3 linked regions of the Macaca fascicularis genome follow. The protein of the gene in region 1 purifies or fractionates together with the protein of each later gene. This does not show direct contact. Links are inferred from orthologs where the notes say so. Each region holds a gene or a part of one and is shown in the gene's direction. Other genes may lie near its edges.

Region 1 (5,380 bases):
CTTCAGGTGATCCGCCCGCCTCGGCTTCCCAAAGTGCTGGGATTACTGGAGTCTGCTTTCTTTTACAGTAATCATATCTTCCTGAAACTATAGCCCGGCCGGGCGTGATGGTTCATGCCTGTAATCCCAACACTTTGGGAGGCTGAGGCAGGCGGATCACTTGAGGTCAGCAGTTTGAGACTAGCCTGGTCAACATCGTCTCTACTAAAAATAGAAAAATTAGTCTGGCGTGGTGGTTCGTGCCTGTAATCCCAGTTACTTGGGAGGCTGAGGCAGGAGAATCGCTTGAACTGGGGAGACGGAGGTTGCAGTGAGCTGAGATCGCGCCACTGCACTCCAGCCTGGGCAACAGAGCGAGACTCCCTGTCAAACAAAACAAAACAAAACAAAAAACTATACCCCTTGATTTAACATGGCTATTTAAATTCTCCCCAATAGCATATTTACTCTTAAGATGTGTCAATTCTTCAGATAGCTCATCCCATCTTTTATTGGGCCATTTTCCTCTGAAGATGCAAAATATGTGGGTGGAGGCTGGAAGGTAGGAGGCTAAAACAAACAGAATCGCACGGAATCTCCTTTTTTTTTTTGAGACGGAGTCTTGCTCAGTCGCCCAGGCTGGAGTGCAGTGGTGCAATCTCGGCTCACTGCAAGCTCCACCTCCCGGGTTGACGTCATTCTCCTGCCTCAGCCTCCCCAGCAGCTGGGACTACAGGTGCCCGCCACCTCGCCCGGCTAATTTTTTTGTATTTTTAGTAGAGACGGGGTTTCACCGTGTTAGCCAGGATGGTCTCGATCTCCTGACCTCATGATCCGCCCACCTCGGCCTCCCAAAGTGCTGGGATTACAGGTGTGAGCCACCGCGCCGGGCTGCACGGAATCTCTTTTAACTTTATGGGCAAGGTGGGGAATCATTAGATTTGAGCGCACCCCACTCATGTAACTGTTTTACAAAATAAAATTATTCAAGTAACACACGAATTTTTTTTTTTTGAGATGGATTCTTGATATATTTCCCAGTCTGGTCTCGAACTCCTTGCCTCAAGCGATTCTCCCACCTCGGCCTTCCAAAGTGCTGGGATTACAGTTATGAGCCACCGCGCCCGGCCAGTAATGTTTGTTTAAAAATAAAAAGATAAATAAGAAACTCGAAGTAAAGTCTGCTTTGACCATCGTGCCCATCGTTCTCCTCTCTGAAGGTAACCATTACCAGCGTTTTGAGCACACTTTTCCAGTCTCCTTTCTATATGTCTTCTCAACTCTATTGCATATACAGAGTTTCTTTTTATACACATGACACCTCTTGGGGTCTCACTAAGACGCTAACGGGAGACGTGATGGCCGATTTATTTAAGGAAAGCAGACTAAATAATCGCTGATGAAAACCCACTGGGTGTCAACCCTGCGCTAGGTGCTTTCTTTGGCATGAAGGGTTCTGGAATTTCACTCGCCACAGTCGGTGAGCTGAGCCATTAGTCTAGAGGCTGGGGGGCGGGGTCGGGGAGAGTCGCTTCAAAGCGAGGAGGCAGGGTTTGTATTTTGATGGGACCTAACAGAGCGCGGAGCAACTGCGAAGCAGAAAAAAATACCGTTACCAGAGTTGGCCCTGTCAATAAAGCTCGCGAAGCTGAAATGCGAAATATCTGCCAAGACGGAAGCTTCCTTCGGAATGTAGGAATCGACACTGCGCCTGCGAGACTAGCCTTGGAGCCCGGAGAGGAAAGCACCAGCAGTGGCAAAAACGATGCACCGGGCAGGCAGCAACCGAGCAGCCAACCGGAGAGCGGGTAGAGCTCCGGCCCGGTAGGCAAGTGCGCCTGCGCAGACCACTGGAGGGGGCCGGGAGGGGCGGGGCTTGGGGGCGGGGCTTGAGGGGCGGTCAATGCGCCTGCGCACACCGCGCGGCGAGGTGGGGGAGGGCGGTCCGTGTGTGTCTGTGTTGTTGTTCGGCGGCGGCGGCGGCGGCGGTAAGATGGCTGCCCACGGGGGCTCCGCGGCGTCCTCGGCGCTGAAGGGGTTAATTCAACAGTTCACCGCCATCACCGGTAAGAGACGCGGTTACCGGAAGGTGGAGGGGGGGGTCCGGAGCGGGCGGCGGGTCTGCCCCGGGCTTCCCCTCACCTTCAGGCATTCCTCCTTCGGGCTTTACCCACAGCTCCCGTCCTCCCTCCTGAGGAAGAGGCGACGACGGCGTCGGGGTCTCCGGGTTCAGGCGGGAGACAGCCCCCGCGCTCCCGAGACCCTCGTTCTCTGTCTCCTAGTAGTGTGGAGGGAGATCCCCCAGCCCCCCGCCAGCCCAGACCTGGGAATGGGCCGAGTCCGCCGCCCCCGCCGGCCCGGGGACCCGGGGGCGGGAGGAGTGGGGGGCCGCACCCGGGCCACCGCCCTCCTCCTCCTCCTTCATCATCTCCCTTCTCGGTGCAGCCCTGCGGGGCGGTGCGTCTCCTCACCTCCGTTTTCCTTTCTTCCCCGGCCAGGTCATCCTGCCCCGGTCCCCGGCCTGCCCTTCCCCTTTCCGGGCCCCTCGGAGCCATCGCCGTGGCCCTGGCGGGTTCGGGCCCTCCCGCCTTCACGGCGAGGCCGGTGGGTTCGGCCGTGCCCGTACACTTCCCGGGGGATAGGCCGCCAGAAGGGGGGGGCCGAGGAGGACCCGGGGACTGCGGCTTAGAGGGAAGAATGAGGGGGACCCCGAAGCTGAATCGGGGAGGCCTGGAGGAATCCTGGGTGGCGTTTCCCACCTCCCCATAATAAAATCATAAAGACGGAGACGATGGCGCCGGGGCCTCCTGCTGATAAGATAGGGATGGCGGCAGAAACTTCTTTGAGAGAAAATCTGTTTCTGGGTGTCAGTATCCCCGAAACCCTAGGCCTAGGTTGTTCTCTCCCTTTGGACCCCTGCGAAGGGCACACGCAGATCCTCTTACCGCCTGGAGGAAAGGCCCTAAAGCCATTCTCTGAATTCTGTCTTGTTTCTCTCTGATGGTGCTGAACTTTTCTTGCATGAGTTATTAGAGGGCGGAGCAAATGATGAAGTGCTCTGTGGAGGGATTTGAGGGAAGAGTACTCCAGTGTGCCTGAGTGTAATTTTGCCGTTCTAGTTTGTCATTTTGGAAGGAGGTCAGAATGTTAGTTCCCTTTCTCAACGGATCTGTACTTTATCTCGGAATGTGTTAGATGCGGAGAATGTTTCCATGTTAATGTTCCTAGAGTTTAACGTGGAGTATCTGGTTAAGTAAAATTTTATATTGTTTTAACTACTACAGGCTGTATACTAGTTAAAGTTTTATATTAAAGCTAGCTTTATTTTTTTGCTTTGCAGTGATAACGAGATATTTGACGCATTGTTATCTAGCTTGTGGGCATGGAACATCAGGTCAAAGTTAGTAAAGTAAAATTTGTAATGAAATTGGGGTGAGGAGTTACATGATAACTTCTCTTAATATTTTTAAACTTTGTGATTGGATTATTGAAGATATAAAGGATTGAATTATTAAATATATAAAGGATTTCGTAATGTCTAACAAATCATTGCTGTGGAGAAGATTATTGTGTATATAAGTTAGTGTTGATGCGTTATGCTTATATAGAAAAATTTTCGCAGTGAATCTGATAGAGAAGTGAATATCACTATTAATCCTTTCTTTAGATTTCCTAGAGATAGTTTATGATGCCACTTGGGCCTGGCGCGGTGTCTCACACCTGTAATCCCGGCAGTTTGGGAGACGGAGGCTGGAGATTCACGTGAGGCAAGGAGTTAGAAACCATCCTGGGCAAAACATAGTGAGGCCCCATCTATACAGAAAAAAAAAGTGAGCTGGATGTAGTGGCACCGACATGTAGTCCCAGCTACTGGGGAGGCTGAGGTGGGAGGATTGCTTGAGCCTAGGAGTTAAAGGCTGCAGTGAGTTGATCATGCCACTGCACTCCATCCCTGGCAGGAGAGCAAGACCATTTCTCAAAAAACAAAAAGAAGGAAAAAAAGCCACATTATTATTATTATTTTGAGACAGAGTCTCGCTCTGTTGCCCAGGCTGGAGTGCAGTGGTACGATCTCGGCTCACTGCAACCTCTACCTCCCGGGTTCAAGCGATTCTCCTGTCTCAGCCTCCCTAGTAGCTGGGACTACAGGCGCCTGCCACGAGGCCCGGCTAATTTTTGTATTTTTAGTAAAGACGGGGTTTCATCATGTTGGCCTGGCCGGTCTTGAACTCCTGTCCTCAAATGATCCACTCACCTCAGCCTCCCAAAGTGCTAGGATTACAGGCGTAAGCCACCGTGCCTGGCCCTAAAAGCCACTTAATTAATTTTCAGTTTCTTATGCTAATTACTAGTCTTCCCAAACTCTGATTGGTTTAACGCCACTTTACTACTTCTGTTGCAACATTTTTATTAGGTGCACAAAAAAACCAAAGTGTGATGAGGTGAATTGACTCACTTAATTGCTTTAATTCTGTTTCTGTTAGTCTACACAGCTTGATTTCTGGATCAAGTTGGAGGCCCTCCATCAGTAGACAATGATGTCTGAAAATCTACAGAGGGAATATACCTCAGAGTGTTCCTGAAATACTGTGAATTTCTATTGATAATTTTTGGGATTCTTCTTACAAGTTAGTGATTAACCATTAGAAACACATGATTGGTTTCTTTTTGCCTTTTTTACATGCCTTAAAAAGAATTTTTTTGGAGTTCTCTCCACATATGTTTAAATCATAGTGTTTATGATTAAAAGGTATTTTACATTTATTAATTGCTGGATGAATTATAGTGACCTTAATCACTTATGCTCTGATTTCACAGAGGTTTTACTTGGAAGCTCAACATTCTTGTAAAAACAAATGCATCATCAAAAATGTGAGTCCTTATTCCTTAGGCAGGAGGGAAAAAAAGAAAAAGAAAAAAATTAAAATAAATGTGAGTCTTATCTTTTCTTTGGCATTTAGAAATAGAACGGAAAATTGAAAGATTTTAGAAAAGTCTTATTTCTTACTGAATAGAACAGATCTCTCTCTGATTCAGTGAGTATGACATAATGACTGAGTTTTGATTTTTTTTTTTTTTTTTTTTTTTTTTTTAAGAGATGGAGGTCTCCTCTCTTTGTTGCCCAGGCTGTTTTCCAACTTCTGGGCTCAGCCATCCTCTTGCCTCAGCCCTCCCAGTAACTGGGGCTACAGGTGCACATCAGTGTGCCTGGTTCAGTAATGGCTGATTAAAAAAAGAGATTATTAAAAAGACAATATCATAATAACTTTTTTTGTTGTTGTTGTTTTGAGATGAATTGGGTCTTACACTGCCACACAGACTGAAGTGCAGTGGTCTGATCATGGCTCACTGCAGTCTCCTCCTCTTGGGTTCAGGCGATCCTCCCCCCTCAGCCTCCAGG
Region 2 (4,659 bases), on another chromosome or scaffold:
CCCCAAATACCGGAAACAATAACCCTCGTGTCCCTAATACTCATCTTCCTTGAGTACTTTACCAATCACATGACTGTAACAGTTTGTCTTTCCTATCACCAAATCTTGTTATTACTGGTGACGGTTGATGATGAGCAAGAGAGACGTAACTTCAACTGTTACTGTCTCTTCTTAAGTAGAGCTGTTTGACTTAATCTGTAAGGTAGTATCTGTCACGCCTGTAATCCCAGCACTTTGGGAGGCCGAGGCGGGCGGATCACGAGGTCAGGAGATGGAGACCATCCTGGCTAACACCGTGAAACCCCATCTCTACTAAAAATACAAAAAATTAGCCGGGCATGTTGGCGGGTGCCTGTAGTCCCAGCTACTCAGGCGGCTGAGGCGGGAGAATGGCGTGAACCCGGGAGGCGGAGCTTACAGTGAGCCAAGATCACACCACTGCACTCCAGCCTGGGTGACAGCACAAGACTCCGTCTCAAAAAAAAAAAAAAAAAGATAGTATCTGTGTGTATGTGTGTAGCCGTCACTGTTCAGGAGCACTTTTTAGAGGCTGTTACCTTAGCGACAGATTGGTCTTTGGCAAGTAATAATTTTTAGTTTTTATGTTCTGCCACAATCGTGTAAGTTTACTATTTTTTAATTTCTTCAAATTCCTTTTACCACAGTTTTCTATTTTTGTAGAACTATTAGTTTGTATTATGCAGATTTATTACTCTGTATTATTTGTCAAACTTACTAGTTTATGTTATTACGTTTATAGATTCCATGTCCAATGACATGGGGCATAGAAGCATAGAATTTTGTGTCAAGGCTGGGAGATGGAAACATAAGTGAATACATTTGTAGTAGACTCAAATCCAGCTGACTTAGTTAAGTCTTAGGTAGTAATTTCTTCATGGTTATCTCCATTAAGAGGGAAAACTCACTTTTGCACTATTAGGTATTTCTTCTCTCTGAGATGTGAGGGATTGTCTTGCTGAGTTCAAGGGGTCTCTGTTCTCAGGGTTACTGGCTTTTTAACTCTCCTCTCTCTCAGCCTTCAGTGACTTTGCAGGCAGTCTTTGCTTATATAAGCCTCTATGAAAGTGATAGACCTGGTAGTTCAGGTCTTGTTATCCTGAAGTTATTCCAACACAGTAGAAAAGTATGCTTTTGGTGGGTTCTTCTGGCAGGTACTAGACAGTCTATGACATTAGCTTGTTGTGTTGAATGACAAGCTATTTTCTTTCTTTTTTGTTGTTTTTTTGTTTGTTTGTTTTTTCTGAGACGGAGTCTTGCTCTGTCGCCCAAGCTGGAATGCAGTGGTGCGATCTCTGCTCACTGCAACCTCCACCTCCCTGGTTCAAGTAATTCCCCTGCCTCAGCTTCCCGAGTAGCTGGGATTACAGGCGCATGCCACCACGCCTGGCTAATTTTTTTGTATTTTTAGTAGAGACAGGGTTTCACCATGTTGGCCACACTAGTCTCGAACTCCTGACCTCAGGCAATCCCCCTGCCTCGGCCTCCCAAAGTGCTGGGATTATAGGCGTGAGCCACCATGCCCGGCTGACAAGCTATTTTCTTTCTTTTTTTTTTTTTTTTTTTTTTTTGAGACGGAGTCTCCCTGTATTGCCCAGGTTGGAGTGCAGTGGCCGGATCTCAGCTCACTGCAAGCTCCGCCTCCCGGGTTTACGCCATTCTCCTGCCTCAGCCTCCCGAGTAACTGGGACTACAGGTGCCCGCCACTTCGCCCGGCTAGTTTTTTTGTATTTTTTTTTAGTAGAGACGGGGTTTCACCGTGTTAGCCAGGATGGTCTCGATCTCCTGACCTCGTGATCCACCCGTCTCGGCCTCCCAAAGTGCTGGAATTACAGGGTTGAGCCACCGCGCCCGGCCGACAAGCTATTTTCAACACCAAAGTTTTAAATTGTTAAAACCACTTTCTGAGAAGTGTGCATGTGTAAAACATAATTTCCTTGAGGAAAAATTTACTCAAGTCTAATAAACCTAGTAGTTTATACTTGAACCTTTTAAAATGTGGTTTTGTACTTATATTTCATGTTTTTAGATGCCAACACTATTTGTGGAGTCAGTTTTGGAAGTGCATGGTAAATTTGTTCAGCTTATCAATACTGTTTTGAATGGTGATCAGCACTTCATGAGTGCGTTGGATAAGGTAAGTTTTAAATACGTATATACTATATATGTACATAAAGCTCTGTCATTCTTTAGGTAGTTTCAGGATTAGACTCCTAGTATGAGATTTCTGACCTAGACATGGAGATTAAATATGAAATTCAAAATGGAAATAATATAACTTTTAAATTATTAACTGAATAGTAAATTGAATGCTTGTAGAATTTCCCATGATTATGCTATATAAGGGGAATTTTTAATCTGATATCTTCTGGATAGACATGCATAATTTTACAATTTTTAGTACTGATTTTTTTCTTTGGCCATAATACTTAGGCTACATTGAATAATATTTGAAAAGAGAATAGATATGTTTTACGTGAACTTTTGTATACTTTAAAGGAAAGTTACTTACAAGATTGTAAGTTTTTTTTTTTTAAGTAGTGTTATTTTATCTGTTCAAATTTTGGTAATGAGTTACAGAGTATCTTGCAATAGCAACAGGATGTATAGATATTTTGTAATTAGAGAATAAAATCAGAGGAGTCCACTGTGTTAGGTGCGAAAATATTAACAAACTACTGGCAATGCTGTGTTGTATGTGGCAGGGTAATTTTGGATGTATGGATTATGGCTTGTATTGAACTAGCTGTACTTTTTCCCTATGGCTGGTGGTTAATTATGGCCTGTTTTTTATGTAGGCCCTTACGTCGGTTGTAAATTACAGAGAACCTAAGTCTGTTTGCAAAGCACCTGAACTGGTAAGTTTGGTGTTTGCTGAAAAGTAATCTTATGAAAAGTCAGTATTAGAACATGAAAACTGAGAAAATCAAATTAATTTGGTTTTTGTAGCATTTTTCAGAAAAACAAAAGGAAAATTATCTACATTGTACATAGTTTGGCATTTATGTAAGGAATGCAACATACCGTGTGTCTTTTCTTAAAAAATAATCATTTTACAAAGTTTGGGTTTTAATGTATGTCTATTTTGAAATAATTTTAATACTTTTCATGTAGATTGTTATATCTGAAATCTAAAGGAAGTCTGATGATAAAGTTTGGGTAACCTTTGAAGGAAACTTGCTTACAAGGTTTTTGTAACTTTTTTTAAAGTACTTATTCAATGTCAAAAATTATAAAACCGCTCGAAACTCACCCAGGTGTTCTTTTAAAAATTTATATTACCCATATCAGTTGCTTTATTGGTCAATAAGTGATAATTCGATATTTGACTTGTTCTTTTAAAAAATATACCTTATGATGTGTATTTTATTTAGGTTACACTTATGATTATTACATAAAGCTTTAGAAGCCTGGTGTGGTTGTGCATGCCTGTAGTCCCAACTACTTGGGAGGCTGAGGCAGGAGGATCCTTTGAGCCTAGGAGTTTGAGGCTGCAGTGAGCTATGATGTTGTCCATTGCAATCCAGCCTGGGCGACAGAGCAAGACCCAGTCTCTTAAAAAAACAGTAAAAACTCTGTCCACTGATCTTATCTTGTATCACCACTTTGCCTCCTTTGAGGCATGATATATACAGAAGCACCCTTTGTAAGATTTATTATCAATTTCTACATGAGCTTGCTAAGTACTGTGACAACTTACTGAAGAAGTCGGCGAAAGGGATGACAGAGAATGAAGTGGAAGACAGGCTCACGAGCTTCATCACGGTGTTCAAATACATTGATGACAAGGATGTCTTTCAAAAGGTATGCTGTGAACAAAAAAGTTTCATTTGTGTTTTGGTCAACTTTATTTCTGAATGCTAAATCATTAGAAAGGAAGTGATCTTTTAAAATATTTTTAAATGCAGTTCTACGCAAGAATGCTGGCAAAACGTTTAATTCATGGGTTATCCATGTCTATGGACTCTGAAGAAGCCATGATCAACAAATTAAAGGTAATATAAGTCTTTAATCTGGTACTGTCCTAGAAATTCACTCACAAGCGTATAAAGATGTTCATTGCAGCATTGTATGCAGTAACAGGAAACAATTCATCCGGTTAAATGTATATTTTTATATTCACACAGTGGGATATACAAATACTATATTAAAAGGACAAAATATGTATGCTTATATATGAAGATTCACTGGATAATCAGTATTAACGATAAAAGATTATTACTACTTTAAATGAATACACCTAAAATATTCCTTTAAGTACAAATTTTGGAGTGCAATTCCATTTCAATTTATTTTTACATCATTTCAGCTTGCTTGCACACCGATAAGTGGTAGCAGGTTCTTATTTCTCCTGCGTTATTCAATAAATTTTCCTGCATAGTAGACATTTTGAATATAATATGCACTCCTTTTTTCCTTTTTCTTTTTTTTAAGAGATAGGATCTCACTATGTTGCCCAGGCTGGACTCTAACTCCTGGGCTCAAACGATCCTCCCGCCTCAGCCTCCTGAGCAGCTGGGACAACAGGTGTGCACCACTGCACCCAGTTGCTATGTGCTCTTTTTGAAACCTACAAAAAAGAAAAAAAAAAGCTTAGTTTTTAATTTCTAAAAGTAGAGTTGGCCAGGTGTGGTGGCTCAC
Region 3 (4,659 bases), on another chromosome or scaffold:
GGTGATCCACCCATCTCAGCCTCCCAAAGTGTTGGGATTAGAGATATGAGCCACCACCTTTGGCCAAAAAACTACTTAAATTGACTTTGAGTTCGTTCACTTTTATCTTTGGTTTTTGTTATTTTAAGCAGTTGATCCTCATGAAGTCACAGGTTTGATGTGCAGGTCTGTTTTTTCTCATTCATATCAACATAAATAGTAAACTGCTGGGTGTGGTGCTACACACCTGGAGTCCCAGATACTCGGGAGGCTGAGGTGGGAGTGCTTGAGCCCAGGAATTCAAGGCTGCAGTGAGTCATGATCACCACTGCACTCCAGCCTGGGTGATAGAGTGAGAGCCTGTCTTTAAACAAAACAAAACAACAATTAAAATATAAACGTTCATCCATGTGCCATCTGGAATATAACTCCATGTGGGCACGGAAACACTGTTAAAGTAGGACGTACGTGTGAGATGGCAGCAGTGGAACACAGACATCCTCACTGCTCTGCCTTTTTCTGCCTTGTTACTCTCCTCAGATGCCGCCACGGCCCGTTGGGGAAATGCGTGCACTGCGTCCCTCTAGAGGTGAGAGTCTCTGCGGAGTAAGTTCTGGGCCGGTGTGGGGGGCTGCGGGTAGACAGCTGTCTTAAGTGCTTTCCCTGAGTCCATGCACTTGGTTGTAGTGGTTCAAAGAACTTATCTATTTATTGCCCTGGGCCTCATATTCCCCCTAGTGCAAGCTGCACACAAGACGAGCCTTTATTTATGGGAGTGACCTTCTCGCTTGATTATGAATGGCTGAAGCATTTGTGTGGCTGTGATAAAGGGGCAGCATTTACAGCAGACTCCCTGGACAATCCTTTTCAGATCTGACACAAAGCTGAGTCTGTCGGCTTCCGTGCTTATCGTTGTTTCGATTTACTTTGCCTTGAATCTCACATCTCTTGTACTGGTTTGTCCTGGTGAGATTGAGAGTCACCGTAATGATGCTGACTGGAGCTGTTAATGCTGGATTTACAGCAGGAAGGCCAACCTGGTTTTCTTCATGAGGCATCTCTTGCCTCATCTTGTGGCATTTCTTTTTGCAAAATTTTCCTGAAACTCATTTGACTTAGAATGTTTTGTTTTTAATAGAGATTCATTTTAATCTTGAAAAGATAACTGGCCCACAAAGTTATGGCCCACCCATAAACTTGCTTCTGGCTATGTGCTGTTCACACCTGTAGTCCCAACACTTTGGGAGGCCAGGGTGAGAGGATCACTTGAACCTAGGAGTTGTTGAGCCTGGGCAACTCTTTTTTTGTATACCCTGTCTCTACAAAAAATTTTAAAAATTAGCTGGGTGTGATGGTTCACGCCTGTAGTCCCAGCTACTCGGGAAGCTGAGGCAAGAGAATCACTTGAGGCTGGGAGGTCAAGGTTGCAGTGAGCCGTGATTGTACCACTGTACTCCAGCCTGGGCAACAGCGTGAGACCCCATCTCTAAAACAATTAAATTGGCCGGACTCAGTGGCTCACGCTGTAATCCTAGCACTTTGGGGGGCGGGGCGGTTGGATCACGAGGTCAGGAGTTTGAGACCAGCCTGGCCAATATGCTGAAACCCCGTCTCTACTAAAAATACAAAAATTAGCCAGGCGTGGTGGCGCGTGCCTATAGTCCCAGCTACTTGGGAGGCAGAGTCAGAAGAATCGCTTGAACTCAGAGGTGGAGGTTGCAGTGAGCAGAGATTGTGCCGCTGTGCCATTGTACTCCAGCCTGGGCGACAGAGTGAGACTCTGTCTCAAATAAACAAACAAAACACACAAAAACAACAATAACGAAAATCAATTAATTTAAAAAAGAAAAACTTGGTTCTGACCTAGAGTGGTAAGGGAGACCCCAGTACCTGCTTTGGCTGTGGGCCTTGACTTGCCGAGGCCATGCTGCCTGGCCTCTGTGCACAACGGAGGCTCAGCGCCTGGAGCACCCAGCAGGTGTGACTGCACTTGCTTACTCTGTGTCTTGGCAGCCATTCGATGAGGACTATCTAAACCATCTCGAGCCTCCTGTGAAGCACATGTCCTTCCATGCCTACATCCGGAAGCTGACTGGAGGGGCTGACAAGTAAGCAGCTTGCTATGACCTGGTTGTGCGTAAATTCCTTTTTGTGTATCTGGCAGTTGTTGCTTATAGCCACTGAACGTGTGAATGAGAGAAGTAAAGATGAGAAGGGGCCACACGCCTTTGAATGTTACCCTGGTTCTATATTTATTTATATTTTATGTACACATATATGTTTTGTTTTTTGTTTTTTGTTTTTTGTTTTTTTTTGAGACGGAGTCTGGCTCTGTCGCCCAGGCTGGAGTGCAGTGGCGCAATCTTGGCTCACTGCAAGCTCCGCCTCCTGGGTTCACACCATTCTCCTGCCTTAGCCTCCCGAGTAGCTGGGACTACAGGTGCCTACCACCATGCCTCTCTAATTTTTTGTATTTTTAGTAGAGGCGGGGTTTCACTGTGTTAGCCAGGATGGTCTAGATCTCCTGACCTCGTAATCCGCCCGCCTCGACCTCCCACAGTGCTGGGATTACATACGTGAGCCACCGTGCCCGGCCCACATACATGTTTTTAAGAGATGGGGTCTCGCTATGTTGCCCAGGCTGGTCTGGAACTCCTTGGCTCAAGTGATCCTCCTGCCTTGGTTTCCCCAAAGTGCTGGATTACAGGTGTGAGCCCCCTCACCTGGCCAACCTGGTTCTAGAAGGGAGCTAGCAAGGCAGTGACTGTGCAGGCATCTGGTTGTGTAGCCACAGTGCAGTGTCGGACAGAGGCTGTCCCCACACACACCGCCCCGGCAAGATAGCATCTGTGATGGTGGCCTCTTGTATCTGTGATCTGAGTTCATTCTCTGCTTTTCAGAAAAACAACTACCCTGTGATAATCTCAGCTCCCCCACTTCAGTGCCTGGCAATCCTTTCCCTAGAGCCCGGCCTCTGAGTCAGCTTGGTTTTCAGCCACAGCAGGGGCTGCAGCCACTTGTCCTCAGGGCACCACAGTAGTTGCCCATAGGCTCAGCCAGGTAGGCACAGGTGGTAACAGTGGCCAGAGAGGGGTGAACTGAGCATTTTGATTTCTTTTAAGCCGTGGCAAGTCCTTGCCTGTACGACTTTCTCCTGTTGGCTCTCTGTACACCCTACCAGAAAGTAACAGGCTTCAGCTATTATTTTGTAATTCCTGTCAGTGCGACAAGAGGAGATGGTGGCTGAACTGAAGTCAGCAACATTTTGTGAAGGATGTCATATTCGCCTGATTGTAGCTTTTCTCTGACAACCCGCTGACATCCTAAAATGACTTTTTAAAAATGTTAGACCAGAAGAAGAAACCTACTAGAAACCCACTATTGCTTGTCAGTGGGAAAAGCTATGGAACTCTCTGGACTAAGGAGTGGGTGCAGATTGATTGTAGTGAAAGAGACTTGGTCAGCCTTTTGTCAGTCTAGGTCAAGGATCACAGTCCCTAGTGGGGGCATGTTTGTGGCTGCCATTAACATGCAGATTTGGTGACGAGTCATTTCTTCCTAGATGCTATGATACCAAAAATGGCTCACCACAAAAAATGATCAGTATGTGAGGTAATGCATATGTTAATTAGCTTAATTTAGCCATTCCACAGTGTGGACATGTTTCAGAATATCATTTCTTACACTGTAAGTATATAGTTTTTATCTGAAAAACAAAACCTCACGTCCACCTTAAAGATAAAATTTTTTTTTTTTTTTTTTGTCAATTATGTTTCAATAAAGCTGGAGAAAAAGAAGAAGTTCAGAGTAGGGTCCAGGACTTTCTCATTGACAATCTTCAACAGTAGTTTTTATTTTAGCCTAAAGCAGTGAAGTTGCCTTAATTATATATCCTAATCAGATTTTTCACATGAATAATAATTTTTTACAAATATCTTAAGTACTGGGCTAATGTCAACGTTGCTGATAATGTAATGAAACCTGTACCAGCCTCATGTCCGCTCAGTGGCACAGGTGACGTCAATAGATATTCTGCAATATTCTTGCAAACTTTCTTGCATGTTAGTGATAGATAGTAAAAAAACACCACAGTTTGGTAGGAAAGTAGTTGTGTGTTTCTGTGTGGTTGCAGTATATGGGACAAGCTAGGATTCGGAATGTGCTGGAACTGCAAGTAGAGCTTCCATTAGAAACATCCTTAGCACATCTTCCCTGCTGCTGCCACGTGCTTAGCTCCTGAGATGCTGTTCAGGAAGTGTAAGATACTTAACATGTAGCTTCCAGCCTCTTGCTCAACTTTTCACCAATGTGATGTTTAAGTAAGTTGCTTCTCTTCTACGTAGGGGGAAATTTGTTGCCCTGGAGAACATCAGCTGCAAGATTAAGTCAGGGTGCGAGGGGCACCTCCCGTGGCCGAACGGCATCTGTACTAAGTGCCAGCCGAGCGCCATCACGCTGAACAGACAGGTGAGCTGTTCCCTGTCTGTCTAGATTTGTCTTCATGGCTGAGAAACGAGTATTTCCAGAAGAGCCGCTTGGAGTGGAATGCCATTAGCACCTCCGCGGCGGGTTTTCAGTACTGTCTGATGGATTGAATGACGCTTTTGTGGAAGTGGTGCGCTGAATATGTCATTTTTAAGGCTTGTTGCTCTTGGAGGTATGGAGTATGAGCCCTCAGTT

What was found. Proteins that work in one complex are often made in the same cells at the same time.
Region 2: the proteins of UBXN7 (region 1) and CUL2 purify together in Homo sapiens (affinity purification with mass spectrometry; 6 studies listed by BioGRID and IntAct, with this or other methods). This does not show direct contact. The link is inferred for Macaca fascicularis from reciprocal best matches to the Homo sapiens genes UBXN7 and CUL2.
Region 3: the proteins of UBXN7 (region 1) and NPLOC4 purify together in Homo sapiens (affinity purification with mass spectrometry; 3 studies listed by BioGRID and IntAct, with this or other methods). This does not show direct contact. The link is inferred for Macaca fascicularis from reciprocal best matches to the Homo sapiens genes UBXN7 and NPLOC4.

The regions. Positions count from the first base shown.
Region 1 is NC_088376.1:1,838,869-1,844,248, reverse strand, and holds the start of UBXN7 (UBX domain-containing protein 7), read left to right. Parts: upstream 1-1,972; coding exon 1,973-2,045; intron 2,046-2,121; coding exon of another isoform or gene 2,122-2,170; intron 2,171-2,924; coding exon of another isoform or gene 2,925-2,951; exon of another isoform or gene 2,952-2,998; intron 2,999-4,463; exon of another isoform or gene 4,464-4,607; intron 4,608-5,380. Other genes in the region: uncharacterized protein, read right to left, coding at 1,473-2,008, 2,122-2,170, 2,925-2,951. UniProt on the Homo sapiens protein: Ubiquitin-binding adapter that links a subset of NEDD8-associated cullin ring ligases (CRLs) to the segregase VCP/p97, to regulate turnover of their ubiquitination substrates.
Region 2 is NC_088383.1:35,798,708-35,803,366, reverse strand, and holds part of CUL2 (cullin-2), read left to right. Parts: intron 1-2,047; coding exon 2,048-2,155; intron 2,156-2,816; coding exon 2,817-2,876; intron 2,877-3,693; coding exon 3,694-3,822; intron 3,823-3,926; coding exon 3,927-4,013; intron 4,014-4,659.
Region 3 is NC_088390.1:88,032,347-88,037,005, reverse strand, and holds part of NPLOC4 (nuclear protein localization protein 4 homolog), read left to right. Parts: intron 1-519; coding exon 520-568; intron 569-1,992; coding exon 1,993-2,087; intron 2,088-4,322; coding exon 4,323-4,446; intron 4,447-4,659. UniProt on the Homo sapiens protein: The ternary complex containing UFD1, VCP and NPLOC4 binds ubiquitinated proteins and is necessary for the export of misfolded proteins from the ER to the cytoplasm, where they are degraded by the proteasome.